Mus musculus: one gene and its partner. The protein of the gene in region 1 interacts with the protein of each later gene in a pairwise test. Links are inferred from orthologs where the notes say so. Each region holds a gene or a part of one and is shown on either strand. Other genes may lie near its edges. The genes, in order: Abtb1 and Eef1a2.

What was found.
Region 2: the proteins of Abtb1 (region 1) and Eef1a2 interact in binary tests that used the Homo sapiens proteins (3 or more experiments, as listed by UniProt). The two-hybrid records come from large-scale screens. The link is inferred for Mus musculus from reciprocal best matches to the Homo sapiens genes ABTB1 and EEF1A2.

Annotation. Positions count from the first base shown.
Region 1 is NC_000072.6:88,834,670-88,849,406, reverse strand, and holds Abtb1 (ankyrin repeat and BTB/POZ domain-containing protein 1), read left to right. Parts: upstream 1-7,471; 5' UTR 7,472-7,582; coding exon 7,583-7,638; intron 7,639-8,506; coding exon 8,507-8,569; intron 8,570-8,641; coding exon 8,642-8,697; intron 8,698-9,635; coding exon 9,636-9,780; intron 9,781-9,916; coding exon 9,917-10,076; intron 10,077-10,176; coding exon 10,177-10,222; intron 10,223-10,445; coding exon 10,446-10,562; intron 10,563-10,650; coding exon 10,651-10,769; intron 10,770-10,928; coding exon 10,929-11,027; intron 11,028-11,121; coding exon 11,122-11,289; intron 11,290-12,681; coding exon 12,682-12,882; intron 12,883-12,954; coding exon 12,955-13,161; 3' UTR 13,162-13,493; downstream 13,494-14,737. Other genes in the region: Podxl2 (podocalyxin-like protein 2), read left to right, coding at 1-212, 598-672, 3,718-3,874, 4,280-4,341, 5,721-5,900, 6,410-6,640. UniProt on the Homo sapiens protein: May act as a mediator of the PTEN growth-suppressive signaling pathway. May play a role in developmental processes.
Region 2 is NC_000068.7:181,150,597-181,165,489, forward strand, and holds the start of Eef1a2 (elongation factor 1-alpha 2), read right to left. Parts: upstream 6,420-14,893; 5' UTR 6,128-6,419; intron 4,886-6,127; 5' UTR 4,811-4,885; coding exon 4,667-4,810; intron 3,235-4,666; coding exon 3,055-3,234; intron 2,485-3,054; coding exon 2,188-2,484; intron 474-2,187; coding exon 323-473; intron 1-322. UniProt on the Homo sapiens protein: Translation elongation factor that catalyzes the GTP-dependent binding of aminoacyl-tRNA (aa-tRNA) to the A-site of ribosomes during the elongation phase of protein synthesis.

The DNA of each region.
Region 1 (14,737 bases):
CTTCACTCCCACAAACAGTGCCTCCAAGTGGGACTGAGGTCCCCAGTGAGGGTCCCCTTTACCCCAGAATCCCAGACTCTCTCCCACCTGGACCCCAAGACACAGAGTCAACCCCTTCCTCTGCTACCTGGGGACAAGAAGGTCTCAGTGAGCAGCCCCTGGAGGGTCAGGCAGCTGAAGCTCACTCACTAACACCGTGGGACTCTACTCAGGTAAGACAGAGGTGCAGACTGCCCTCGGTGCCTGAATACCTGCTGTCCCCTGGGTCCTCGGGGTGTCAGCAGCAGTGCAGTGTGATGGGGGCTTACCACACTTTTCCCACCCCACCTGTCCACACCCATGTGCCCAAGTCATTGTTCATACACACAGGCCGCAGGAGGAAGGGACGTGGTGTTCACAGTGCATAGGGCCAAGGCAAAGCCTCAGGATGGGCCAGGCCTCTCACTTCCTCTGTGTCACTGTTTAGCCTTATGCACGCAGAGTGGGGACCTGACACTGCAGCTCGGGAGGATGTGGTGGTCCTCAGTTCCCAGGGGCTCAGGCTCTCCAGAGGTCTCTCCTAAGGCCTGTGTGCCCTGCTTGCTTCCTCTCGCACAGGTGATCTGCAAGGATTGGAGCAACCTGGCCGGGAAGAGCTACATCATCCTGAACATGACAGAGAACATAGACTGTGTGAGTGCTGAGCTGGCCCATGCGGAAGGAAGGGCCACACGGGCAGAGGGAGGTGCTGCAGTGGGGGCCCTGCCCAAGAGGCCAGCCCAGTCCAGGGCTGAAGCAGCACCTACCACTTAGGGAAAGCCAAAAAGAGCTCTTTCCTACTTAAAACTCTAGGACTCTTCCCCCCCTTTGCTTTCTGTAATTTGTATTTTTTTTTCTTTTTATCCCAGGCTGACCTCAAACATAGTATGTAGCCAAGGATGATTTTGAACTCCTGAACCTCCTGCTTGGTTTTATTCAGTGTCGAGCATCAGACTCGGGGGCTCATGCATGCTAGGGCAGCACTTTACCAACCGAGCTGCACCCCCGGCTCCCTCTTATTCTCACTTAAAGGATCTTTTGTTCCAGTGAGCGACATGCTTCTGATGATGATACTGAGACCTGTTCTGTTGTCTTTAGCATTTTGTTGAGAAAGGATCTTGCTATATTGGCCAGGATGGCTTGGAATTTCTGGGTTCAATCAAAACTCCTGTACCCACCTTCCAAGTACTGGGACTACCGTCAAGCACCATTGTTACCCAACAGTAACTTTTTATGTTGTTTTTATGCTGGGGTGTAGTGACATGTGCCTGCAACCCCAACATGGTGGCAGCTGAGACGGGAATCAGGGTTCAGAGCCAAGTTGGGCCACACAGATGCTATCCCACAAAGGATGTCCCCCATCCTAGCTGCTTTATCATCTTGCCTTAGGCTTTTTAGAAGCAACATCTGTTAGTGTTTGTTCATAGCTCTCTAAAGAGACATCAAAAGGCTAATGGGAAAGCTGTGTGTGTCTGAGAGACAAAGACAGAGACAGAGATACTCAGAGCCTTATATAGGTCATGTGCTAGGCCATCAATCACAAGAAGGCCACATCTGAGCCTCCTCCATGTGACTGAGATGGTGTCCTCGTCTTATTCTGTGGCTGTGATAAAACATTGGCAGAAAGCAACTTGAAGAACAGCAGCCATTTGGCTTACACTTCCAGGTCATGGTCAGTCACTGGGGGAAGTCAGGGCATGATGAAAAGCAGAACCCATATGAATGAGTACTGCCTAGTGACCTGCCCTCAGGGTCACAGTTAGCCTTTTCATACAGTCCAGGAACATCTGCCCAGGGAAAGGTGCAGGCCACAGCGGCTGGGCCCTCCTGCATCAATTAATAAGATAATCCCTCACAGGCATGTCTAGGAAACAACCTGTTCAGGAAATTCCTCAGCGGAGTCTCCTCCTCTCAGATGCCCTAGGTTATATCAAGCCGACAGTTAAAGCTAGCCTATGACTGTGGCTCTGGACATTAGGTCCTTCCTCCTGAGGTGACTGGACTGTTCGAGAAGTATGAAGAGTTGTCCGTGTTCTGGAAGCCAAGGCAGGGGAGAGGTTGGGTGTCTATAATTAATGTGCTTGCATGAACACTGGTACTCATTAAGACATCTTCATGATCATAGGCACTCAGTTTTACTCTTGAAAACGTGAACTTCCAGGGCTAGGGTGTGGCTCTGTGGTGCTGCTCAGCACAGTTTTGGGTTCATCCCCAGCATGTCGGGGTAGAAGGTAAATCAGAGGAGAGATGTTCCATCTTCTCCAGGCAGGGAGTGAGTTTGCTGTTGGTGTATCCTTTCCCGAGCGCTGTATGTAGACTTGTCTCCCATCCAGCGGTCCATGGTTTCCTTTCTGACTTATGTTTGAAGAGAATGGAACACTGTGCATTGAAGGTGATGGGCCACGCAGAGCCCTCATCGTCAGATAAAAAAGAATAGGGAGGAATGTGCCACTGCCCCCAGAGACGGCTTTACACGATGCAGCTACAGTTTTAGAACTTTGCACTTGAGATCATCGCCAAGAGTAGTGTAGGCTAGCCAGCTTCTCCTGTTTCCTATCTAGGATCTAGGAGACAGGAAGGGAGCCGGCAGAGATCAGCAGGCACAGACACAAAATGACAAAGTAGCAAATGCCAATCTGACCTTGGAGTTTAGATGCCGGGAGCATCTTTGCCCCAGGATGTGGGATCCCATCCTTTCCCTGGAACAAGGTGGCTGTCGCTATACAGGGAAGGGTGTCATACATGTGGCCGAGCAGCAGGCAGGTAGAACACCGCCCTGTCCTCACATCAGTAACAACGCTGACCACTTGACCCTGGGATTTGAATGTTTGGGACAGAACTGCTGACTGGGAAGCTAAAGTGTCTAGACCTGAGCTGCACCTGGCTTTTGCTATGGTCACAAGGAGCAAGCCCACCATAAAAGTCAGCTTGGTGGATTTCAGGTTGACCACCAAGGGGGGGGGGTAGGTCCTTATCCTAGGTAGGAACCCAACAAGAGTAGCAGTTCATCTCTGCCTCGGGGGTCACAGGAAGGCATTGGGCTTGCACCCACGGTGGCCTGTTGACATGTCTAGAGAGCTGGACATGCAGGAGAGGGATCTGGTTGGGACTCTCCTGGTGGCAGCAGCCTGGCCTCTCTCTGCCACAGAGTTCCTGTGGAGGTCTGGGTTTGTTTTCTTGTTACATTCTTTAATTATACTTGACATGATCATCCAAACAGTGGGGTAGAGTCTGGGGGGAAAAGAAGCCACCTCACCCTACACCCACCCCACTCCCTAGGCGAGTTCCAGGGTACTCTGAGTCATCTCTATGGGTTTTTCAAGTCCCTTGCTGTAAGGGCATTCCCACTGCTCCCGAGGCTCAGTGACATGGTGGAATGACCAGCAGAGGAGCCTGCTGTTTTCAGCCTCCCTGCTCTCTGGTGGCCATGGGGACTTACTGTTGTTGTTTCCAGCGCTGGATACTTTGCCCCATGATAAGGGTGGACAGATCCATGTTCCCTCTACCCGACTGACTTTGGGGCAGGCTCACACCTTTACCATGGTATTTAGAGATGGAAGTGAATCAGCTGTATCTGCCTGTGCCCTGCTCTCAGCTGGGCCCAGGGCCGACCAGGCTGGGGAGAGGGCCATCTAGGCCTTTGGGATCTGGGATGAAAGCTACCATCCAACCTTAAGCTTGGCTCCTCTGAATCCCTAGGAAGTATTTCGGCGGCACCGGGGACTACGGCTCCTAGCTCTGGTGGAGGAGGTACTGCCACGCCACCGCAGTGGCCATCGTGGAGACTGGCATATTTCTCTGAGCAAGCCCAGTGAGAAAGAGCAACACCTGCTGATGACCCTTGTAGGAGAACAGGGTGAGCAGACAGGGGAGGTGTCCCGCCACAGGCCTGCAATGGAGGCTCAGGAAAGAACAGGGAGGGCTGTGAAGCTAGGAGACCCAACAGGCATTCTACTGCAGGGCTCTGGGTGAAGTGATACCTGGGTTCTGGGGATGAGGAGACAGGTATGGCCATCACACTCTATGAGAGCGGGATCCTTGGGCTGCAGAGGTGACTTCTAAAATCATGCCTTTCATAGTTTCCCAGGGGGTCAACTCAATGGGAAGCAGGCCAGCAGGGGACATACATGGGCCCTGAGGTTCCCTGTGATTAGAAGCACAAGGGCAGCAGAGGCGGCTCAGGCATTCTGCCATAGGAGAAGGGTTGGGTGGTGTGGAGACACCTCAGGGTGCTGTGGTGATGATGGCGTTTTTCCTCCAGGCGTGGTACCCACTCAAGATGTCCTTTCCATGCTCAGTGGCATCCGCAGGAGTCTGGAGGAGGTAAGTGTGTAGGGACTTGACCTGGCAGCCACTGCAGCATCTTCTACCATTCTTGACTCTCCAAAAGTGCCTGGAAAAACTTACTGCTGTTCCAGAACAGGGGTGTGTCTCAGGGCTCTGGCCATCCCCAGACACAAAGAACAGGTGCAGGTTACCACCCGAGCAAAAGGACTGCACACCCCCAGGCCACAGTGAGCGATCGACCATCAAAGAGGGGATTAAGTAGGATGGTATCTGAAGTATCATGAAGAACACGGTGGGGGGGGGGGGGGGGGACGACGACAAGATAGGCCCCGCCCCTACCAGTGCTTCTCCGGGGGAATCTGAGGTGTGGGGTGGATGCAGGAACTGGAAACAGCCCTCTATAGTCAGAGGTAGCACTGATCAGATGTGGTGGTCTGGCCCCTGCTGGGCTATGGGACACAAAGCTGGGGATCTAGATAGCCCAGAGCTACCAGGGGCCTTGCCTGAGTGACTCCCAAAGCTCTCGTGGTGGAACTTTAGATCCCCAGCAGGAGCCAGAACACCACATCTGATCAGTGCCACCTCTAACTGTGGAGGGCTGTTTCCAGTTCCTGACATCCCCCACCCCTCAGGTTCCCCTGCAGCATTGGTGGGGCGGGGCCTATCTTGTTTCCCCTCGTCCAGGTTCTTCGTGATCTCCAAATCTGGGCTCAGGAACACAGATGGACAGAGGGCACCTGCAAGGGTTCCACACAATGCAGGGAGGAGCTGGAGCCCAGCCCCTGCTCCAGAGCTCACTGATGGCACTCACCTTCCTCGGCTCCCTCCCTTCACCTGAGGCTGGACTGTAGGGAGCTTTCCCATTGGGAGGGAGTCCAAGCCAGCCAGAGCAGCCTGCAGTAGGGAGGCACATGCCGCCTGTGATCTTACCACTGGGAAAGGGAAGAAGCTAGAGACCCCAGCTGTGGGCTGCAGTTGGCATCCCCACAGAGGTTCCAGGGATGCGGGGCCTAGCATGGATGGCTAGGGTGACATTACCTTATGCCTAAAGATGAAGCTTGCTTCAGGCCTCTGCCTTTGGTGAACTCAAGTCTCCCAGATGCCATGTTGCTTTGTGAAACTGATGGGGACAGGGGTGGGGCCCCATCTATTTGGGCCGTGACTGTCATCACGTCTCAGTGATGTGCAGGGCCAGAATTGGTGCATTCAAAGTTGTGTTGGTGTAGAAACACAGTGAGGAAGTGAAGGAGCCAAGAATGTGGACCCTGGGAGAGGCTTGGAAGTGTTCTTGGATGAACCAGTAGGGACAGAATGGTATGCCCCTCTATGCAGGTCCAGGCCCCAGGGCTGTCAGGGGCTCTAACTCACCCTTGGAATGTTAGCTCTTAGGGCTTTCCTGATACCCCCACTCTTAGATTGGCATCCAGAACTACTCCACCACCAGCAGCTGCCAGGCACGAGCCACCCAGGTGCGCAGTGACTACGGGACGCTCTTTGTAGTGCTGGTGATCATTGGTGTCATCTGCTTCATCATCATTGTGCTTGGCCTACTCTACAATTGTTGGCAGCGCCGGATGCCCAAGCTCAAACACGTGGTGAGTAGGCCAGGGAGGGCTTAGGACTGTAGGGCAGAGTGTGGCTAGTATCACCCAGTGCTACCCAAGAGCCTCACCTAGAAACCTGTACCAACTCAGTTGTGCTCAGTGCCACCATCTACCCTCTCTGAGCCTGGTCTTCGAGGAGATACACAGTGAGGGGGAGTTAAGTCTCACCAAGGGATCCCTCCTCTCCTCCAGCTCTTCCTAACCCCAGTGCCCCATTCTGCAAGGCTTGAGAGCAGCTGCTCCCCTCAGTCCTAGAAGCCAAAGGCTCCTGCAACCTGCACAAGAGAAAGGGGGCAGGCCCTGCACATTCTGCCCTATCTCGTATGCTTTGAGTGGGCTGTCTCATGTATAATGCGCTGTTGGAAGGGATCAAGTGACACCAAGGGGGTCACAGGGTTTACCTGCAGAGGTTTAGGTTTGAGTTGCAGGCACTTGTATCCTGGGCCCCAAGGGAGTAGTACCCTGGGGGCTTGGCGTGGCCAACCACTGTGCGCGCCTAGCGCTCTCTCCTGCTGCTGCAGTCGCACGGTGAGGAGCTGCGCTTCGTGGAGAACGGCTGCCACGACAATCCCACGCTGGACGTGGCCAGCGACAGCCAGTCGGAGATGCAGGAGAAGCAGCCCAGCCTGAACGGTGGGGCCATCAACGGCCCGAGCAGCTGGAGCGCGCTCATGGGCAGCAAACGCGACCCTGAGGACTCGGACGTGTTCGAGGAGGACACTCACCTGTGAGCGCCGGGCCACGGGCGCGAGACTGCCCGACGCCACGGCCCCGCGCCCCTCCCGGTCCTCCACGCGGACCACTATGCTTCCCCACCGCAGCAGGCGACCGCGGCGCAGCTCCCACCCCGCCCTGCCCGGCCCCGAGCGCTTGCCCGAGGCCAGCGCGCTCCCCGCGCCAGGACTCCATTAAAGCCGCTAAGACGCGCGGGCCGCTCCGCCTCCACGCCTGTTTTTTGCCTTCCGAGGGCTGCACTCCGGGGAGTGGGTGGGATGGGCCTGGAGGAGTAGGTGGGGCAAGGGAGGCTGGCTGGGCGTGGCCAAGGACGGGTGGGCTGGGAATTTCATGGAGTTTGTGGGCGTGGTTAGGGATATGTGGGCGGAGGGTAGGGAGTATAAGGTCATCTGGGTGGAACCAGGCCGGGTGGGCTGAGCCTGAAGTAGGCTGGGAAAAGTCCTGGTGGGCGAGGCCTCGGCCTGATGTGCGGGACCTGAACCGAGCTAGACTCAGGACTGACAAGCGTTCCAAGCCTGTGGGAGGTGCTGTTTTCAGAACGGATCCCAAGAAATGTGGGCGGGGCCTGCAGCGAACTGCTCTTCCGGTGAAGCTCTTCTGAGGAGGCGGGGTCTTGGTAGTGAGCTATTCTTCGGGCGAGTGGGCGGAACCTGGGGGAATTGAGTTGTCCTCTAGACGGGTGGGCGGGGTGAAGGCTAGAAGTCCCCAGAGGCTAAGTGGGCGTGGTTAAGGTTACTGGGTGCGGCCTTGGGGAGCGGCCTTCTGGATGCGAGGGCGGGGTTCGGGCCGGACGGTCCTCCGGGCGGCAGGCGCCGCTGCGGAGTCGCAGGCGGGCATAGCTAGGCCGTGCCGCGAGGGGCGGGGCGGTGAGTGTTTACATCCGGCCGGGCACAGACGACTCCCGAGATCACTCGGCCGGGGGTCCAGTCTCTTTCGCCATGGATACCAGCGACTTGTTTGCCAGCTGCAGGAAAGGGGACGTGGGCCGTGTGCGGTGAGAACCTGAAGTGCAGGAGGCGGGCAGGCGTCCGCAGGGCTTATCGGGCACGGGTGTGGGGTTGGGCGCCGTGGGGCTCCCGAAGCTGACCGAGTCAGGGAGATCGGGCTCTAGGTCCCTTACTTAGCTCGGTGCAGGGAAACGACTCCTCTCCGTGGAGGTTCCAAGAGGCGCAGGCGCCGCTGGTGCAGCCAGTTACCAGCCTGGCGCCGAGACCGTGATCTCCGTGGGCAGGCAGGGAAGAGAAGGATCCTGACCCTTTTCTTTGATAGACTCCTTTCTCCCATGGCCCTTCCTTCCAAGTCCCCTGGTCCTCAACAGATGTGACCAAGCTGCAGCTCTCTCCGACACCAGATGCCACCTCAGAGTTAATGATCCGTCCCTCAATTTGAATGCAGCTCTGAGAGTTCAGGTCTTGCCTCAGATAGCCTCCTTGGGCTGCCATGTCCCAGTGATCGCTTTCTGGTTCATGACCTCTTCTCCTCAACATTTTATCAATTGTTTTTTCCACTTCTTCCATAGATCTGTTCTGTTCCCCTCCTTCCCCGCCCCCAGTGCCTGCATCAGCTTTCTTCTGACTTCCCTGCCATTGGCTCCCCAGGCTGAATTAGGGGCCCCATCACCTTCTCTCTCCCAGATATTAAAAGACCAAATTCTCAGCCTTCTGAACCTGGGGCTTGGCCTCTGTCCATGAAGCCATCACCCAACTCACAGTTGCAGACCCTTGCAGACCTGTGTAGTCCCAGGCCTTACCCTTCTCAGAGGCATTCCCTAGCCCAGAGAGATGTGGCCTCCTTCCCCTTCCTGGTTGTCTCTCTCCCAGATGAGAAGCAATTCTGACCCAGGCTTTGAACTTCCTGCCCAGGTACCTGCTGGAGCAGCGAGACGTGGAGGTGAACGTGCGGGATAAGTGGGACAGCACCCCTTTGTGAGTGTGAGCGGTGGGGTAGCTGGGTGGGCAGGGTGGGCCTACCCTACTGACAGCTTCCCCCTTTCCTAGGTACTATGCCTGCCTCTGTGGGCATGAGGAGTTGGTGCGCTACCTGTTGGCTAATGGTGAGAGAGGGTCAGGGTCTGCCTGTAAGCTCTGAGACCTTGCTCCATGTTTGTATGCACCCTTGATTTCTTGTTAACTCCCTAAAGTCAACACATAGTACTCTCTAACCCTCTATCCACTTTCTCACGTTACCCTTGACACCCAGGCCAGTTCTGGGGCTGTCTCCTGTACTGTACCACCATTGGTCTGCTAAACTGACTCTCTGATCTCCATATTTGCAGGCAGGAGGATCTTTCCACAGCAAAGCTGATGGGAGTGTTTGGGATAAAAGCACGTGGGCATGGTTGCCCACACCTGCAATTAAATTATTGGGAGAGAGAAAAGTCGAGACAGGGATTATCTTAAGTTCAAAGCTAGTCAGGGCTACATTGTGAGACCCACTCTGACCTCCTCTCACTTTGCCTTCCTTGGGTCTCCCACCTGCTGGCTGCCCCACTAGACCTACCCATCTCCTACCTCAGGGTCTTCTCAGTTGCAGTACTTCCTGCTTAGACTGGAGTTCCTTCCTAGATCTATGCATCTCCCGCTTCTTTCAAGTCCCTGTGCTTAGCCACCTCACTTCACAGTTCTCCCCATGTGGCTGCCACTGCCATAGTCACCCTTGGTTCTGTTTTGTAATAATGCCGGCTGTCATATAATAAACTATGCATGGGCTCCACTAGGTTCAGTTGGGGCAGGGATCTGCTAGTCACCAAGATGGCTATTTACAGGGCCAGCCCCTCAGTCTGGCCTTAACTGCATATAGTCCAATATTTACATGTGTATTCATGAGTATGCCTACATCTAAGTGCACAGATTGTATGCCTTGGCCTTCCCAAGGACCGAAGGGTTGCCTGGGCCTCTGTGGCAAGGAAGGGCCTCTGGGGAGCTGGGGAGGCCAGAGATCTCCCCAGACTAGGTGTTCCCTTGACTCTGACTGATGAGCATTGCTTTGTAGGAGCCCGCTGTGAGGCCAACACCTTTGATGGAGAGCGGTGTCTCTACGGAGCGCTAAGCGACCCTATTCGCCGTGCACTGAGAGACTACAAACAGGTCACTGCGTCCTGCAGGAGGCGGGATTACTATGACGATTTCCTGCAGCGGTGAGCTGGGGGTGGAGCTTGCAGTACTGCTGGGGTTGCTGGGCACTCTCAGTGGGTTCTGGTGGGTGGGTTTGCTGAGTGGTCCTGGTGCGCCAGCAGTTGTCAGGATGATGCAACCTTTCCTGGCTTTTCCCAGGCTTCTGGAACAGGGCATCCACAGCGATGTGGTCTTTGTGGTACACGGAAAGCCGTTCCGGGCCCATCGCTGTATCCTCGGTGCTCGCAGTACCTACTTCGCCAACATGCTGGACACCAAGTGGAAGGGCAAGAGCGTCGTGGTTCTCAGGCACCCCCTGGTGTGTCCATCTGCCTTGGGAGAGAGTGCCAGTTTCTGGGAGAACAGATAGTTCATGCTGGGTGGTAGCCTCTGACCTTCCCTTTCTACTCTGCCTGCAGATCAACCCGGTGGCCTTTGGGGCTCTACTGCAGTACCTGTATACAGGTGACTGACCGACCCCGTGGGCTGGGACAGCAGCACACCCAGGGTGGCCCAGAGCTGATGTCACCTTTGGGGAGGAGGAGTGTGCCCAGCATGACTTAACCTGTTTGGAGAGGACAGGTCCCATCTACAAATTGAGCAGGTCTTAGGTCCTTCCGGATGAGAAAACCAAGGTATTGAGTAGGAGTCACTCTCAGGTCCTGACTCAGCCTCCTCAATCCCCCAGGCCGCTTGGACATCGGTGTAGAACACGTGAGTGACTGTGAGCGCCTGGCCAAGCAGTGCCAGCTGTGGGACCTGCTGGATGACCTGGAGGCTAAGTGCGAGAAGGTGTCTGAATTTGGTGTGTACAGGGTCTCAGTCCAAGGTCTTGGGTTACAGCCTGCAGCTCTGGTCCACCTCTCTAAGTCCCTGCCGTCTTCTCCCCCCAGTGGCTTCCAAGCCTGGCACGTGTGTGAAGGTGCTGACTATTGAACCTCCTCCAGCAGATCCCCGGTTACGGGCAGATATGGCCCTGCTAGCTGACTGTGCCCTGCCATCTGAGCTGCGGGTATTGAAGGGCATGCCAGCTTGGTGGGCATGATGGGTGTCTAGGGATGGGGCTGTGAGGGGCAGGTTCCACAGAGCTGGGTTCCCTTCCTAGGCCAACCTAGAAGCTACTTCCCTTTCATGAACGGCTTTGCTCTGAGTCGTCTCTTTCCTATACCAGGGTGACCTTGGAGAGCTGCCCTTCCCATGTCCCGATGGCTTCAGCAGCTGCCCCGATATCTGCTTCCGAGTGGCTGACTCCAGCTTCCTCTGCTACAAGGTACCTGTCCCACCCCTGGCCGCGCTGCTCAAGCCCTGGGCTGGCCCCTTGGGGCAGATTCGAGCCCTGGTCCTTTGTGACCTTGCTTCCTCAGGCTTTCTTCTGTGGCCGCAGTGACTACTTCCGGGCCCTTCTGGATGACCACTTTCAAGAGAGTGAGGAGCCTGCAGCCTCTGGAGATCCCCCAGTTGTCACCCTGCATGACATCTCCCCGGACATCTTCATTCACGTGTTGTACTACGTATATAGTGACCATACCGAGGTGAAGTGGCGCCCAGCAGGAGGGCAGTGGTGAACAAGCCCTGGGCCGTCTGCCGTAGTGTTGTCACAGTCCTTGGGTCATTCCTGCACTTAGCTGTCCCAGAGTTCCTGAGCCAGGCCTGTGGGTGGCTTTAGACAGTACCAAAGGTTCCCTCTGTTGGTATGTGTTCATGGCAGTGTAGCAGGGCACTATACAGGAGAGAAGTGTATTTTCCATTGGGTCTGAGGGGTGAGGTGGCTTGCTGGGGTCCCAGGTGCCCCTTTGTCTGGTTTTTCCAGGGCATTGCCACAAATCTTCCCTAGGAAGGTAATGTTTTAAGGCTGGTGGGCCATATGGTATTGTCAGGGCTGTTCAGCCTCCAGGAAAGGTCTTTGTAGAAATGGTGGCCCTGACCCCCAGGCTGTGGCTCCCCCATCCTCTTTGTTCTCTGTTACTGAGATGGAACTACAGGAATCTGTGTCCCTACATCATTTTCTGGTGACCCCAGTCCTGGCCATCTGGCTCCCACCAACCTGCCCCCTCTGTATTAGGCTTTGTCACTAGCCTTCCTTCTGTCACTTCCCCTCACTTCCTTTCTCATGGCCTGCCACTCATTCTGAGGTTGAGTCTGAAATCCTGTGTCGCAAGCTCTCTCTGGAAGAAGCTTGGTACCCCAAGAACATTTTTAATAGCTCAGAGTGTGGACTGGCCTCTGAACATTGTCAAACAGTAGATTAGTCTCGGGAGCTGTGTGATCTTAGACAAGTTATATCCCTGCTCTGTGTTTCAGTGTATTCCCCAGAAGATGGAGAATAGTATGTTTCCTTGAGTCTTGAGCATATGACCAAACGACCAGAGAATAGTTAGGTGGCAGAGTGACATCCAGAAGTGTGGTGGCATAGTCCCTCTATTTTTTTTTCCCCTCTGCTCAGTCCCTAGGCCACCCAAGGTCTGAAGCTGGATTCTTGACCTTAGCCAAGGCCTAGCAGTCTCCTCCTCAAACTTGTGTGGTCTTTCACAGTGGAAGGAGCCATTCCCAAGCTGTGGGCTGGAATAGAAACCTCCAGCTCACTTTACTTTCTTTCAAGTCTTCCAAGGCTGGCATGAATCCTCTACAGATGAGGGGACTGAGATACAGAGGTGAAGGGACTTGCCTGGGACCCCACAGCTGGATGGGGAGAGCTCAGGTCTATGCCTGAGCCCACACTGCTTTTCCTAAAAGGCCTGTAGTCCTAAGCACTGACTGAGGCATGGAACCCCCCTCTCCTGAGCTGATTCTGCCCCTTGCACCCCCAAAGACCTGGGCCAGGCTCCAGAGATGTGAGTCTCTTGTATTTCCACTGGGGTTTCCTCCCTGGACCCTGGGAGCCCTTGATGATCCCCTGTGTCCTGTTGTCCCTTTTCGTGTCACAGCTGCCTCCTGAGTTGGCCTACGATGTTCTGAGTGTGGCTGACATGTACCTTCTGCCTGGCCTGAAGCGGCTGTGTGGCCGCAGCCTGGCCCAGCTGCTGGAGGAGGACAGTGTGGTGGGTGTTTGGCGCATAGCCAAGATGTTCCGGCTGGCCCGGCTGGAGGACCAGTGTACCGAGTATATGGCCAAAGTCATAGAGAAGGTGGGCAGGGGTGCAGAGAGGGGGAGCCTGAGAGGGTGGGATGCAGCCTGTGCTGAGCCTGCTTCTCTGCAGCTGGTAGAGCGGGAGGATTTCGTGGAGGCCGTGCGGGAAGAGGCGGCAGCTGTAGCGGCCCGGCAGGAGACAGACTCCATCCCGCTCGTCGATGACATCCGCTTCCATGTGGCCAGCACGGTCCAGACATACAGTGCCATTGAAGAGGCACAGCAGCGACTGCGGGCACTCGAGGACCTGCTCGTGTCCATTGGCTTGGACTGCTAAGCCCTTCCGTGGCCAGGGCAGCCACGGTGACAGGCATGCGCAGTGTGTGCACGCAGCAAGATGGCATTACAATGGGCAGAGGGGACCTCACAGGATGTCCTTGGGATGAGCCTCCTCCTCCAGTGCACAAGGAAGCCCCAAGATTTGGGGCAGGCACCACTCAGGGAAAACTGGGGTACGGTAGGCTTTGAACTTAGTCCCATCTCCCCCAGCGTCCTACCTGCTCCCTCCTGGTTCTCACCCAGCCCTGGCTTGCTTCGGCTATTTCCGCATACAGGGCTGGACAGGACGTAGGGGGTGTGTGGCAATAAAGCTTGAATTCACTCTGGGGACCTGAGCCTGTTGTTGGGGTACAGCTTGCGGGGGGGGGGCAGGCTTTGGGGAGTGGAGCTGGTGAGGAGAGGAAGCTGGGGACTGTGGATAGGGGACTTGGGCATTCTTAGCGGGACACTCCATGGAGGGTGACCCAGAGGCTTGGAGAAGAGGTTCTCTGATCTGAGCCAGTAGGCCTGTATCCCTGCCACTTAACCACACCCGGTGTGACTCCATGGCCTAACTACAGAGACACAGAGGACTATGGTATTCCCTGGATGCCTCAGGCCAATGGACCACACCCCTCCTCCACACTCCAGTAGAACTTTGCTTTGTCCCCAGTGCTAGACAGCTGTCAGTCTACATGTTGTCCTGCAGTGCCATAGATCTCCCCACCTTTGTGTTTGTCATGTCCCAGAACTTTCTAGATTATTTTCCTCTTCCTCACCAGTGCATTTCCATTTGTTTTGCTCTTGTGTGTTCATCTTTTGGGGAAAGACCTGAAGCTGCCAGCTAGGACAGGTGGCCTCGAGTCAGGGTTGCTGGCAGAGGGTTGCAAAGGTGGAAGGCAGTTTGCCACTGAGCCCACCACAAGCAGAAGGGAAGCCAAGATGGGCGGTGGGGTCTCACTGGCTCTGCCTTTGTGCCTGTTCTTACATGTCTGAGTTCCAAACCGGGGGACGAGCATTTAAGTGTGGTCACCTGAGGAGACTTAGGGTCACATCTGGTTTGTGGTGAGCCAGGGTGTTTGTGAAGCATCCGAAGGAGCTTCCTGGGGGGAGGTGCCAGCCAAGCTGGGTGTGACAGTGACTTGCATCTTTAGGCTTGTATTTTGAAACCACAGGGACAGGGAGGATGGGGACACAGGCCACACACAGCCCAGGATGTGTGGACTTCAACTTCAGGAGGTAAAGGGAAAGTTTCAAGTTGCCATGCATTTCTTCCCATGTGTGATTAATTATTAAGTCAAGTCCATCTTCTGTATAGATGTTATTTGAAGTCAGAAAGTTTCCATCTTTCATCAGACGTTAGTAACATGAGCAAAGGAATTTTCAGTGCCCTGGAATCCATATTCTCCACTAGGTTCATGGATGCGATGGCAATCAGGTTGGTCCCCAAGGAGCCAGGCCATGGGTCAAAGTGGACACGAGTTCCCCAAATACCACGCATGTGCCCAGTTCCCCATCTTAGCATGAGGCAGAAACCCTCCTGGGTACAGCAAGTAAGAAACACCAACCTTGTTACTGGTTAGGCAATGGGGTCC
Region 2 (14,893 bases), on another chromosome or scaffold:
TTGCCTCCTATGAGACAGGCACCCTCCACCCTGCAGGCAAAGTGTAAGTCGGTTCAATACTCCTATCTTATGTCCCTAGCTTGTGGCTGAGTGCTGGAGGGGGTACGGAGTGGGAAAGGGATCCTATGGAAGGCTGAGTGAACAAATGGTAGGTGGGAGGGGCCACTGTGGAGGTGAGTGGGAGGGGTGACTGAGTAGACGGATGGATAGGGTGGGTAGATAGAGCAAGAATCAAGATTCCTTGTTGATATCCTAGTCAGGGTTTGGAGCAGAGTAGGCAAGCGCCTGCCGCAGTGAGCCCCAGCACTGAACCCTCACTCACCCCCAATCTTGTACACATCCTGCAGAGGCAGACGAAGGGGCTTGTCAGTGGGGCGGGTGGGGGGCAGGATTGTGTCCAGGGCTTCCAGCAGGGACACGCCGCTTGCATTTCCTTCCTTACGCTCTACTTTCCAGCCCTTGAACCATGGCATCTGGGCAGTACCAAAAAGGAAAACAAAAGGGTGCCAGTTATCACAGAGCAACTCACCTGACCTGACCCTCAGCCTCCGATCTCCTGGACCTGCCTAAGGGGTAGCCTGGGAAGGGAGCTTGACCATTCAAGCTGAATAGCTTGCTCCTTATCCCTCCTCTCCTTCCTAGCCTCACAGGGACCCTGAACAAACACAGCTTAGGAAAGAGGGAAGTGACAAATCAAGCAAACAAAAACAGCTTCCCCAGACTGCTGTCATGCCCCCACCACTTACAAATGAGACCACTCAGCCTGGCCTGATTCCCTAATTCCCCTGGGATCTGATCAATCATAGCCCTAGACAGGACAAGTACCAGGGGAATGGGGACCCAAGTCTAGCCAATGACCATGCCATGGATAAAATCCACCCTCTGCCCTTACCCCAGAGTTCTGCTCCATACCAAACTATCTCCAAGCTCAGGTCTAGCACCACCACCACCACTACCACCACCACCACCACCACCACTACAATGGCCTCTCTGGAGGATGACTTCAAACCCCCCTGACAGAGCTCCTCATGGTCCACCTGCCACAGACAAGAAGTAAATCCACCCAAGGGGCTTTGTGCACTCCTGCCTTAGTATTCATGGCCAAGTTCCAAGCACCTCAGGTCAACAGATGACTCTCAACGTATGGATGGGCATAGCCCCAGAGCACAATAGAGCAGTAGGGAGCAGAGGAGTTTCTGCTGATCAGAAGTGTCCAGGGGATTCTAAAGTCCTGCTAATCATACATCAGCAAGAACAAAATGGAGTATCCCCTGCCCGCCAAACTCTGTCCTTATACCACCAGGCACTGGGTCCCCAGCTATCTCCAGAGAACCTAGGCTTCTATCATTTTACTCACAGTGGCAGCTGCAAAGCTGGCTATAGCTGAGTACCCACCTTTCTAGGACAGGGGTTTCCTCTGGATAGACCAAGGTCTAGGTCCCAGGCTGTCTCTGAAAAATGTCTTCCTCTTTACTCCCAAGTAAGAGTCCCAACCCAGAGCTGCAGACTGTCTAAGTTTCAAGCTTCCACATGACCTGCCCAAACACAATCCTCCACTCTTCAGGCTAGCCTCCGGACATGCTTCCTTCCCAGATACCAACCCACTTCAGACTAAAGGGGGAGGCAGCTGAAAAAAACCATGTGGCCTTACTGATTCTGAATAGTTTTTTGTTGTTGTTGTTTTGTTTTTGATTTTTTTTTCTTTTTTGTTTTTTTGAGGCAGGGTTTCTCTGTATAGCCCTGGCTGTCCTGGAACTCACTTTGTAGACCAGGCTGGCCTCAAACTCAGAAATCCACCTGCCTCTGCCTCCCAAGTGCTGGGATTAAAGGTGTGCATCACCACACCCGGCCTGAATAGTATTTAAACCCAGGGCAGTGACTTCGGAGAAATAAAAACTGTTTTTCCCCCATAGTGAGATCCGGGATCCAACAGGCAGTGTCTGTAGGGATGACTTGATGAAACCATCATTTGCCAGAAAAAGGGCCTTATCTTCCTCTTTTGGCCTCTTAAGGAGGCTGAGTCAGAGAACTTCAAATGCAGGTCCCTTACTAGGAGGTCTTCATCACCACAGAGCTCACAGAAACCTAGCAAGACCAAAGGGAGCCTGGCCCACCCTGGCCTGGAGCCTTGGAGCCCTGGGCTCTTGAGAAGGCCAGCACTGTCCCCACCATACCATCTCCACTCACATTAGGTGAAGGCTCCAGCATGTTGTCACCATGCCAGCCCGAGATGGGCACGAAGGGCACCGTGGCTGGGTTGTAGCCGATCTTCTTGATGTAGGCGCTGACCTCCTTAACAATCTCATCATAGCGCTTCTCGCTGTAGGCTGGTTCCGTGGAGTCCATCTTGTTGACACCCACAATGAGCTGCTTCACACCCAGAGTGTAGGCCAGGAGTGCGTGTTCCCGGGTTTGCCCGTTCTTGGAGATGCCCGCCTCAAACTCGCCCACACCGGCTGCCACGATCAGCACTGCGCAGTCCGCCTAGCCAACAGGTCAGACACAGTGAGTCCCCACCCGGCCCTGCCTTCGACCTGGCCCTGCCACCCACATAATGGGGCCTGGGCAGTTATGCTGGGGGTAGAGATTCAGGGTATCTACCTCAAGGGCAACAGGGGAATCTTCCACCAGACCCTGAGTCAAGGAGGCCCAGACTGGCCATCAACTCCACTGCCAGCAGGGTATGGTCCTTGGATGAGTCACTGATCCCCTCTGGTTCTGTCCTCTCTGCCTGTGACTGACTGACTGCTTTTCTACCCATATGTCACTGTATCTACTCTGGGCTCTTCTATAAAAATCTATGTGTGAAAGATATGCCTACATGTCACCCTTGGTCTGTCTGCTGGCCCCAGCAGAGGTAACCCTGCAGGCACCCGGTCTAGCTGAGATATAAACACTGACTCAGTTCTTGAGGGACTCTATGCCCAACAGGATGGAGAGGACATGGAGATGACATGGGTAGAGGTCTGCCGAGACAGAAAGTGCAAGAGACGCTGACACCTGAAGAGAGCTCTTGGGCCCCGAGTCACTGAGCTAGGTGCCCTCTGTGCACACCTGGGATGTGCCTGTAATCATATTCTTGATGAAGTCTCGGTGTCCTGGAGCATCGATGATGGTGATGTAGTACTTGGTGGTCTCAAACTTCCAGAGGGAGATGTCGATGGTGATGCCTCGTTCCCGCTCGGCCTTCAGCTTGTCCAGCACCCAGGCATATTTAAAAGAGCCCTTCCCCATCTGGAAGGGTAGAGGCACAACTCAGGATAAGACACAGGACTCTGAGGTCACATCCACCTGCCATGCCTGCCCTGGCCCATGGGAGCAGCCATGGAGAAGTGACAGTTGGCTTAAAGCACTTTGAACTGAAGACCTCTGTCCCATCTCTCTGGTGTTGATCCCCAAACCCTGCTCTGCCTCACCCCAGGCTGCCCAGATCAGCCAGCCCCACCCTCACTCCCTTCCTCAATGGTTGTGGACATGCAAGTCCCCCAGCAGAGGGCGTGAGGGCCTGGGAGTTGCCAAACTATCCTTGCCACCTGAGGCTAAGGCTCTACACCCAATTAGAGATCAATTATCTCATTAGGTTTGGGACTGTTAAAAACAAAACAACTCTCTAAGTTATTTTTTTAAGGGAAAATTTTAAAAATGAGTAAATTGTTCAAGGTTTTGAGAAAATCCCGGTTCCAGCTCTTCCTGCAGCTGATGAATAACTCTGAGGCATCTCCCCTCCCCACTTCCACCAAAACAGAAGTAGAAACAGCCCCACCAAGAGCAAGGCTGGCTGCTCTTTGCAAATCTGTGCCAGGGTGAGACTCCTTGTGAGACTCCTACAGCCTGGACCACGGTTTGTGGTCATCGATGCTCAGCTGAACATGACTCCCTACCAGAATCTCACATGACATGTTTGCTTCTGCATTCCAGGGATGATGCCCAGCTTGGAGGGGCTACCCAGACAGAGCCAGACAAAACCCAGCTGGGACCTGATCCAAGTGGCCATCAAACCCTCAGGTCCCTCCTACCTCCTCCCCTCAGCGCAACCCCTAAAAGGTAAAAGCATCAGGCCTAGACACACAGAATTGTGGCTCAAAGCCCCATATACACACAGGAGCAGGAGCTCTGCATAGACAGTTGATGCCCTCAGATCTGCCTTAGCCCTTATCCAGGAGCCAGCTCTTCTCGGAATGAGCAGGGTTAGGGGCAGAGAAGAGAATTCTGTTACAACCACTGCTCATTTGTAGGTCTCAACCAGGAACAGGCTACCAAGACCCCCCACTCCAGGTACCATCCTGGACCAGCAACCCTTCTCAGCTTATCTGGAGAAAGTGGAGCTGGCAAGCCTGCTGCCCATCAATCAGCTATTAATAGCATCCTTGAGCCCTGGCTGTTGCCAGACAAGCGAGGACAGCACCACATCCAGCCCAGCTTCAGCCCTGGGGAACAAGAGGATAAGGCTTGAGGGTCTCCTGGCACTGGCCCACTGAGGCCGAGTCCAGAGCCTTCGGATGGGCCTGGGGAGGGCACAAGTTCCCCCTCCCTCAGTATGAGACAAATCTAGCAACATTCTCAGAGGGAGACTGCTCTGTTCACCCCTCCCATCACCAGGCACCCATATCCCCTGCACTGAAGGAGGTAAACTGAGCAATGGCAGCACCAGGCCCACAGTGCTCACCTCTGCTGCCTCCTTCTCAAACTTCTCGATGGTCCGCTTGTCGATGCCACCACACTTGTAGATGAGGTGGCCTGTCGTGGTGGACTTGCCTGAGTCCACGTGGCCAATGACCACAATGTTGATGTGTGTCTTCTCCTTGCCCATTCTGCCTGGGTGAGGGAGGGGCTGGCACTGTGGGGGCTCTGGTTTGGGGTTGAGGGTATATGCTGGGCAGGAACTCTGTGGAGTCAGGGACGAGGGAAACAAGTGATTAAGGGGCCCAAAGAGAGTCCAGCAGAGGTACCCGCGCCATTCTTGTATTGTTTGGGAGCTTGCCCTGACCCAGTCTTCTCCTGAGCCAGAATAGGGAAGAACGACACCCCCCCCCAACCCTGTCCTAACCCCATTCAGCCACATTTCATTCATAAGCCACCTGTTTCTCTACCCTATACCTTAGCCCAAATGCTCCGTTAGTGTGTAAGTGTTTGGGAAGGTGATTTGGAGGCAAATTCCTTAGGGAAGGGTTAATCAGGTCTGGACATCACAGAGCAGCAGACTGAGTGAAGCTCTGGAGCAGCCAGGAGCCCTGTGATGAGTCACTGTGCCCAGCTCTAGGGTGCATTGTCCTTCCTGTCCTCGATGCCACCCCCCCCTTCACACACACACACACACACACACACACACACCAGGGAGGGACACTGCCCTACCCCCATCTGCTGCCACCATGAAGAGAAGGCCAGCACTCCTCAGCCCCTCCACGGGCAAGGGCGCCATCTTCCTCCCTCTGCCCACAGGCTGGCAGAGGAGACAGCTGGATGGTACCCAGGCATAGGCCCAGAATAGCTCAGGCCCTCCCCACAGGCAAGGGGCAGCCATGAGGGCCGAGAGGTGAATGTCCTGTTCTAGCCAGAGAAATAAAAATCCCACCTGGCCCAGCTCAGCAAGTGCCCTCAGAGATGCCCTGACCCTCTCCCCTACTATCCAGTCCAGGTCCTGTGTCTCAGTACCCGCGCATCTCAGAGGTCAACCGAGAAGCTCAGGCCTGTTGGGGTGGGGGGTGCATCCGAGGGTGGGAGCCACATAGGACGCGATAGGGGTCCTCAGATTTCACCACCTCCCCCGCCCTACTCTGACAAATCACGGACATCCCCAGGGCCCCAAACCACCGCGCCAGCACTTTCACCGACCAGCCTGTCAAGCCCAGCAGAGCCCAGACAAGCCCCAAGGTCAAGGTGACAGCATGATGGCAGGTTTCAGGAGAAGGCCCCCCTCCACTGTCACAATTGCCTAAGGGACTCACTACCCGACTGCCACGGGGACCCACCATGCCCAGTCTAGAGACAGCCTCCCTCCACCCCCAGCCCAGGGGTGCAGCCCAGCTAGGTGCCGCATATTCCCCTCTTCCCCGGGCTGGGTTCCCAGAGAAGCGAACCCTGATTGAAAACCTAAGCAAGGGTCTCAGACCGGGATGTGCGTCCTTACCCAGAGCCGAGGACTCAGTCAGAAGGACTGGTGGCGCCGGCGCCGGCGGTTTTATCTCTCCAGGAGGGGGTCCACCTATTGACGGTGCCGGCGCAATGCACTGCGCCCCTGCAGTACGGCAATGCGGTACCGGAGGGGGGAGGCGGGCGCCGAGCGGCTGGCAGATGGGATGCGAAAGATGCGTGGACGCAGGGGCCGCGCACCCACGGACGCGGGCCGGCGTAATGAGGATCCGAGAGGACGCAGCTGCAATGATGCACCGGAGCGAGGGAGAGAACCAGTGAGCGAGAACGCAGACCAGGAGAGAAAAACAGGCAAAAGGGCGGTGCAGCGCGCAGAGGTGGGGGCAGGGAAACAGAGCCAGGAAAGGAGGGGCAGGGATGGAGAGAAGCGAAAGAAACAGTAGAGAGAACTGGGGTAGCAGAGACAGTGGTTGCTGGAGAGCAGGGGGGAAAAAAAAGGTACATCCAACATAAAGATGTCCCCAGGAAGGTGGAACACAATAGGGAACCAGCAAGTAGACTAGGAGAGAAGAGGCCCAAGCCCAGGTCAAGATCCCTGCAAGCCTTGATGTGGGCATCCATTGCTGGCCCTGCTCATGGTTGAGTCCCGGTGAACATGAAGCTCAGTTTCCAGAGGTTTTCCACGATCCCCACCACCCCTAGCACAAGTGCTTACTCACATGGACCCTACATGACAGGCCCTTGAGGCAATCAGCCAGTCCAGCCCGCAGCCCAACCTTCTTATGAAGCCCTGGAAAGAGGTTTTTGTCTACCTATTCCCTTAGGTGTAGGGAATTTACAAAGCCCGTTCTCAGATGGTCTTAGCTAAGGTCACCAAGAACATCCAAACAGGGTTCAGATCCCCACTCTCCTTCAGGCTCCATTGGTAGGAAGCAGGGAGCCCTTGAGATTTCTAGAAAGATTAGGATATCCCAAATAGACCTTAAGGGGGTTGTGGCCACCGTGTATCACCAGGGGCTTCTTCAGAGGTGCCTATCTTGTCATTTGACCCAGACATTCCCGTTTTCCAATACTGCCACCTGTCCTAACCCAACCAGTCTTTGTGGTTGCAAGTAGGAAGCAAAGGTTCCTTGAGTATTTATGCTGACTGACAGCAGGCCTGTGCCTATTCCTTCTACCCTGGTGTAGAGTAGATCTAGACATAGAAGGCCCAGGTCAGGGCCCAGCACCTCCTACTGAGAGCGCCTGTTAGGGGACCCTGGAGATGGGTGCCCAATTAGGGCAGCTATCAAGTATGAAGAGAGAGTAAGGTGAAGCCTAATGAGGGTCTGTCTAGCAGAGGGCAGCCAGAGGCTAGGCAGGGCTCTCAGATGACTTGGCACTTTTGAAGACTGCTGAGACCGTCAACTGGGAGCCAGGAATTAAAAATAAACGCCTGGCAAGACATTAGCATTTACTCCACCCACTTGTCCAACTCATCTCTCCCTGAATGCCTTCCTTCTTGCATGGAGATGACTGGGCCTGGTTTCGAAATCAGGAGGTAGAGTGGGCTCAATAATGAGGTCCAAAACCCAGCATCTTTGTGAATAGCTATTAGTCCTTAGCTTTGGAGTCGCCTCCTCTGTCTATCTGGGCAGCAGTGAGCCAGCAAGGCCCAAGGCCAGGAGCTTACCCATCTAGAGGACTGACCCCTAATGACCAGAGGTCATGTCCTGCCTGAAACACCTATACATTGACCTACAGGAGGCAGGTCAAAAGTACCTCCCTGTCATTAGGACATACTTTGCCTCCACTGCAAATCCCTGAAGCCTTTGTTGGTATGAGAGACCCTGGGAATAGGCAGAAAACAGATTTTTAAGAGGTTAACAGTGTTGAGCAACAACATACTCAGCCAACATGATAGGGGGCCTTGAGGCCAGCTGTTCCAAGGAGCCACTAAGCCAGCAGCACTGAGCAATGGCCAGGCACTCAATAGCGCCAGCAACGGGGCAGCTATTGCTTCAATCTGCATGTATCTCCCAAGTTGGGACTGAATCTCCAGGAAGTAGTGCTGGTATGGGGCTTTCTATGGGACATTTAGGTCCTGAGGGCCCCAGCCTGATCCTACCATAAAAAGTGCCTATGGATGGTTCTCCTGCCTTCCACTGTAGAGCCTAGTTGAGCACCTTGCCAGAATTTTGGGTTTCTATCCTCTTCAATTGCATGCTTAGCAGCACTTAAGCAATAAAGTCTGCAATACTGAAAAACATCAGGTTCTATAAGTAGGGCTCAGGGACCCCAAAACCTATGAGGAAACTGGGCAAAACTAAGCTCAGCACCTGAGACCACACCAGTGGGTAGCTCAAGGCATTAGAACTAAGACAGTGTAACTTCCAGACAGAAGCCTGCGTTTCACCTGTGGCCACAACCTCTGCTACTACTCATGTTCCTTCAGTAGCCCTGGTCACGGTGGCCCTGGGAAGCTGCCAGAGGTGGGGCAGGGCAAGCAAGGAGAGGCTACAGGAAACCAGGATTCTTCCTACTGGCAGCATGGAGGACAGGGTTCAGGTTCTACACCTCCTCAGCCTCTCCAGGAACCCCCACCTGCCGTCTTTAAGCTGTTTAGGGAGATATAGCACCACCCCCTTTGACTGGTGGGGGTTTCACAAACGTTGGAAATGAAGATCCAGCTAAAATTAACCGTTATCAAGCTGCCAGCCCTGCAAATAAACCCGCTTCCCATTGGCTGGCGGTGATGTCACTGTCAGGTTAATAATAGCTGCAGTGCCCAGCTAACCACCTGTGCGGGTGCCTTCTGTGAGCTATGGTCAGGACAGCCTCCTGTAGTCAATATCCAACAGATGTATGTCACTGGGATCAAGTGGCTTTTAAAGGGTCTTAGAGACAGGATCAGGGTCACGCTTGGGACATCTTCTAGTCTGAGAGTTTCCAGGAAATCTCCACCCCGATTTGGACTGCTAGATGCATTCTGGTCTCAGAGCACAGTCCTTGGCCTTAGAGCCTTTTACCAGCCATCTACCTGAGCCTGAGTCCTAGGAAGCCTCCCTGGAGATCAGCTTCCAGGAAGATACCAGGAGACTGAGTGTGCTCCTGAGGCAGCAAGCAATAAACTGTCTGTGATGAGGGGAGTTCTGGGGCCTCTCCTTGACAACAATTAGTGCCTTCCTGACAGGAAAACCCCTGATTTCAGGCTAGCCAAGACCCCAAATACACTATCTCCCAAAGCATGAGGTCTGTGTGTCTAAGGCATCCCCAGTCTGTCAGGGAGCCCACAGCCACAGGGAGCTGTTGCCATGGTGAGCGGCAGCTCACCAGGCAGGAGGCTCCTCCCTCCTTCTCTAGGGAGCCCAGCCCTACAACATCCAATGAGGGAAGAGCTGTTCATCTCTGAAGACCAGTAAGAGTCTGACAGGCACTGTGGGACACGAGTAACTTTCCATACTCTGCAGGCTGAGAGGTCACACAGCAGACCAACTGCTGGGGTCAAAGCAGGGTGCTGCCTGCAGTAACACCCAGAAACAAAGGGGAAGACCAGGGGTCTTCAGTCACAGTGCAGGGAATGGCCAACCTTAGGAGTAACCACACTGGTCCAAGAGAAGCCCTGGGAGGCCAGCATCCCATCCATCACCAAGAGCCATACCTGGGGGCAAAGGGACACAGAAGGGTTGCAACATGGAGAAGGTGCAGTCCTTTTTAAAAAAAGATTTATTTTAAAGTATGTGTATTGGAGCCTGTCGATGCATGTGTACAAATGAGACAGATATTTGTAAATTACCCCATGTTGTTGTTGGAAGTATTCCTCCAAAAGAGGTACATGTTCCTAACTGCTGAGCCATCTCTCTAGTCCCACGCAGATCCTTTTAAACGTAGGTGAACATACATGGGGATTGCACGGGGAGGACCATATGTTTTGAGCTTCCAGAGAACTCACCCTTGGGAGCAGCACCCAGATCACTCCCTTGCGCCCCTCTGGGTAATAGACACACCTCAATGGCCAACACCGTGAGGACTCCTGACACAGACTCATTTGGGGTTGGTTTTTTTTTTGTTTTGTTTTGTTTTTAAGATTTATTTATTTATTTATTTATTTGTTTATTTATTTATTTATTATATGTAAGTACACTGTAGCTGTCTTCAGACACTCCAGAAGAGGGAGACAGATCTCGTTATGGATGGTTGTGAGCCACCATGTGGTTGCTGGGATTTGAACTCCAGACCTTTGCTCTTACCCACTGAGCCATCTCACCAGCCCCTTGGGGCTGTTTTTAAACAACACACACTGGAGCCTCCAACCTGCATCCTCTGTCTGGCTTCCTTCCCTGCTCCACCACCAGCTTCCTGTTGCCATAATAGACACCTGACATGAGCTACTTATAAAATATCCTCTGCCTGCAGCTTTGGAGTTCCGTGGTGAACTGGCACCATACCAAGTCAGCACACTGTGGCAGGAATACGCCAAAGAATCAAATTTCTCACCTCGTATCCAGGAAGAAAAAAGAGAGAGGCTTGGGTCCTGCAATTCTCCTCAAAAGCACACTCCATTAGTCCTAAAGACCTTCTTAAAGGCCTTTGCTCTAAAGAAACCACTCTCTCCCAACAGTCCCACCCTAGGGACCAAGCCTTCACAAACACATGAACCTTTGAAGGTATTCACAATCTACACTACAATGTACATTATCAGGGCTGTGAGATTCAGCCACACTGGATTTCATTTATTTTTGTGGCTGAACACTGTTCCACAGTTTTAACCTGCTACCAGCAAGGCTGCCATAAACAGCTGCACATGTATCTTGTATGAGACTTCTGAAACAGAGGGTCAAAGATTTTGGCATACTGTCTCCTGACTCTAAACTCAAGCCCTGTGATGGTGGACAGGATGTGTGTCAATATCCCCATTGGACCCAGGCAGAATGCATTCTCCAAGCAACAGTGACCAGTCACGCAGCCTCTGGCAGCCCTTGATGACTGACTTCTCTTAATGCGGCACCACCCTCGTTCCTCATATATCTGGTTTCTCTTCTCTGTACATAGAGCTTTGGGAAGTGACTCTGGGTTCTATGCTGGCCCTTGTTCAATCGACATTCAGCTAACAGACTTACACAGACTGCTTTCCAAGATGGCAGTGCCACCCATGTGACTCCTCCTGACTGCCACTCAGCATTCAGCCTCCATCTTCTCCTAAGGCCTCCAAAAGGAGGCTGAACCTGTGCTGAATCTAGAGCAGGCAGTACTCTAAATTCAAATCCTTCCTCAAGTAAATAGATAAACTAACAAACAAGGAGGCTCAGCCATACTGGCTGGATCCCCTGTTGCTCAATACTGACTATTTTCTAGAATTTTCTCTCTATTCAGCCACGTGGTAGTTTCAGCCTGGGTAAAGTTTCCAATGATTTCACACCTTTGATATTTCCCTGTCTTAGGTTACAGGACTCTGAGACTGGAACGTGAATGCAACTGGTACCTCAAGGCTCTGTTTTGTAATGCACATGACAGATGTTCCTACTGGATGGGAGGAAACCAGGAAGGCACCTACATTACTAGGGGGCTTCCAGGCTGTCAGCCAACAAGAAGAGTTCAGTTTTCCTAGTGATCAGTGACACTGAACATTGTTTCATGCAATGGCTGGCTGCTTGTAGATCTCTGGAAAAAGGACTAAAGTCCTTGATCCAGTTTAAATGCAGCTATTTATCTTTTTTTGTGTCAAGTCTTGAGAGTTCTTTATAAATTATGGACACAAGTCCTTTGTCAGATTCATGCTTTAGAAATATTCCCTTCTAGCCTATAATATAGTTTTTCAGTGGGTTTTCCCCATCGTGGCAGGGTACACCTGCAGCGTCAATGGCTCCAGGAGCTCCTGGGGGGGGGGCTTTCAGGACCCCAGTCTCTTAAAAAGTAATACTGATGACACAAACTCCGTTTTTAACTTTGATGTAGCCCAGTGTGTCCATATTCATCTGGAATGATGTGTTGTCTTTACATCGGCTGGTCCTAGTCACACTGCTTGCCTGTGCTTTCCTCTAATAGACTATTTACTATTTATGAGATGGGTGTGCTTATTTGTTTTTACATGAAGAATGAAATTGTGACCCAATATTTGATACTACAGGACACAGTAGGCTTAGTTATTTTAAAAACCCACTTTATTAATGGTTGTCAAACACTTTGACCTCTCTTCTAGCCCACTGTCCAAAGGTAGGGGAGAAAAGATAGTAAGTAGCACAAGGGGATGTGGACCTGTTTAGAAATAGCTCTTTGGGGTGATCTGAATCTCCATTGTCAGAAAACCAACAGTCCAGTTCCAAAGTGTCACCAAACACGAATCAGTACCGGCAGCACAATCCAGCAGAAATCGGCTTGAATCAGTGGGAGCGACCAGAACCAGCAGGAATACCAAGAGCCGTTCTCCTCCGTGCCTCTCTCAATGAAGTGAAGATTGGCGAAGAAGTCCAACAAAGTTGCAAGGCAAGCGATGCAAACACCCGTCACTGACAACTGAGTCCTACTTACCCTCTCTCCAAACATCACCTGTCCTCTCACCGGTCCTGCTTCAGCAAAACAGCACATGAGTCTGCATCACATGACACAAGCAGAAATTTCCACTTCAGGACAGCATCTTTTTTCAGAGTGTCCCGACATTTTGGTTTTATAATCTGCCACGCTTTGCTAAGCATGGTGCTTTACATAAATAGATGGCTCGAATGGCTGAAGTAAGTATAGGACTGTTGGAATCCTATACTAATCCCAAGCTAAAATTCATTTAATGATTTTTAAAAGATTTCTGTATAAGCATACAGTGTTCTGTCTGCATGTATGCCTGTAGGCCAGAAGAGGGCACCAGATCTCGTTATAGATGGTTGTGAGGCACCATGTGGTTGCTGGGAATTGAACTCAGGACCTCTGGAAGAGCAGACAGTGCTCTTAACCTCTGAGCCATCTCTCGAGCCTATGGTTTTTTGTTTGTTCGTTTGTTAGTTGTTTTTGTTTGTTCATCTTTGAGACAGTGTTTCTCTGTGTACCCTTGGCTATCTTGGAACTCACTCTGAATACCAGGCTGGTCTCAAACTCAGAGATCCACCTGCCTCTGTATCCCAAGTGCTGAGATTAAAGACATGCATCAGCACACCCTGCTTGATTCTGTGACTTTCTAAATCACATCACTCAAAGGATGTAATTTGCAACAATGTTTAAAGAAAGCAAACTTTTAAAACTCAGGAAAACTGCTGTGCACTGGTAGTGCACACCTTTAATCTCAGCACTTGGGAGGCAGAGTCAGACAGATCTCTGAGTTTGAGGCCAGCGTGGTCTACAGAACAAGTGCTGGTTCAGCCATGGCTACACAGGGAAACTCTGTCTCGAAACAACAAATAATAAACAAAAGTGTAACCACAGTTATTCAGCTCATTAAATACTCTCCGTTTTAAATCTCTAAAACTTTTGCTAAAGCGTAAACTTTATTTCAGAACCTGTAAGTGTGGTCTTAAAAAGCTGTTAAATTCCAAGCCCCCCCCCAAAAAAAAAAAGCCAGCTTAAAATCTGTAACAGAAAAAGGCATGAGCCTGATGGGTCACCTAGGGGAACCATGTTCTTGCCATCGTCTTGTCTGATGACCTAGGCTCACCTTGGAGTAGGTAACAACCCTGTGGGCTTGCCACCATCTTGGCTCATCAGTCACACTCAGCACAAATGTGTAGAACATTCTTAAGAATTTTGGTTTCTTAAAAAAACACACACAGAAATATGAGACTATGTTTTTGTTTTAATCCCAGGTGAGAGGAAACAACAGTGCTGCTTCAAGGCAGTGGACTGTGATTTGCCTGATGCTCTAGAAGAGGCGTGGTTTTGCCAGCTGCAGATAGTTCCTGCAATTGTGTGACATTTGGAATGATGGGAACTTTTCAGAGGGCATATAAATGCTAGGGCCCTGAGAGGAAGGGTTGGTAGTTGGTGGTCATTGAGAGGGGTTGGTTGTGGTTTGTCATGCTCAAATAAGAAACAAGAAGAGAGAAATTAGATTCAGGGACACTCTCTCCCTCCCTCCCTCCCTCCTCCCCACCCTTCCTTCACCTATCCATCCTTCTTTCTCTACTATCTAGTATTAGGGGATGAAACCAGAGAAGTAAAAGGTAGGAAAAAAGAAGAACCCACAAAGTAGCTAAGCCCAGCTACACAAAAGAAATTCATTTACAGCAGTGTTTTTCAACTTCCTAAAGCTGTGACCCTTTAATATAGTTCCTCATGTTGTGGTGACCCCCAACCATAAAATCATTTTAGTTGCTACTTCATAACTGTAATTTTGCTCCTGTTATTAGTCGTAATATAAATATCTGATATGCAGGATGGTCTTAGGCAACCCCTGTGAAAGGGCCATTTGACCCCTGAAGGAGGGAGTCGTGACCAAAGGTTAAGAACAACTGATTTACGAGACAAGTTTGGAGGGGAGACCAACACTTATATCCCACCATACAGTATTCTGTATACGCTGTCAAATTTAAACCTAAAGCAAGTGAATCAAAACAAGTTTAAAGTAAATTTAAGGTTTGTTTAATGTAAAATAATATTCAAAATCAGGTATATTTTAAAAATTGGTTATAAAAATATTGAAATTTTTGATGTTAACAAATGTTGCCATGGTCTCAAATACCAGATATGATCATTTAAGGTGTATTATCAGGGTGATAAAGCCTTTGCACGTTAAGGGTCACAGATCCAGGACCGTGCAGAGAAGCTTTGGCAGTTCCTCAGGGAGAGTGAGGAAGTTCCAGAAAGGAGCTGAGATCCAGGTCATTTCCAAGTGGACTGAGAG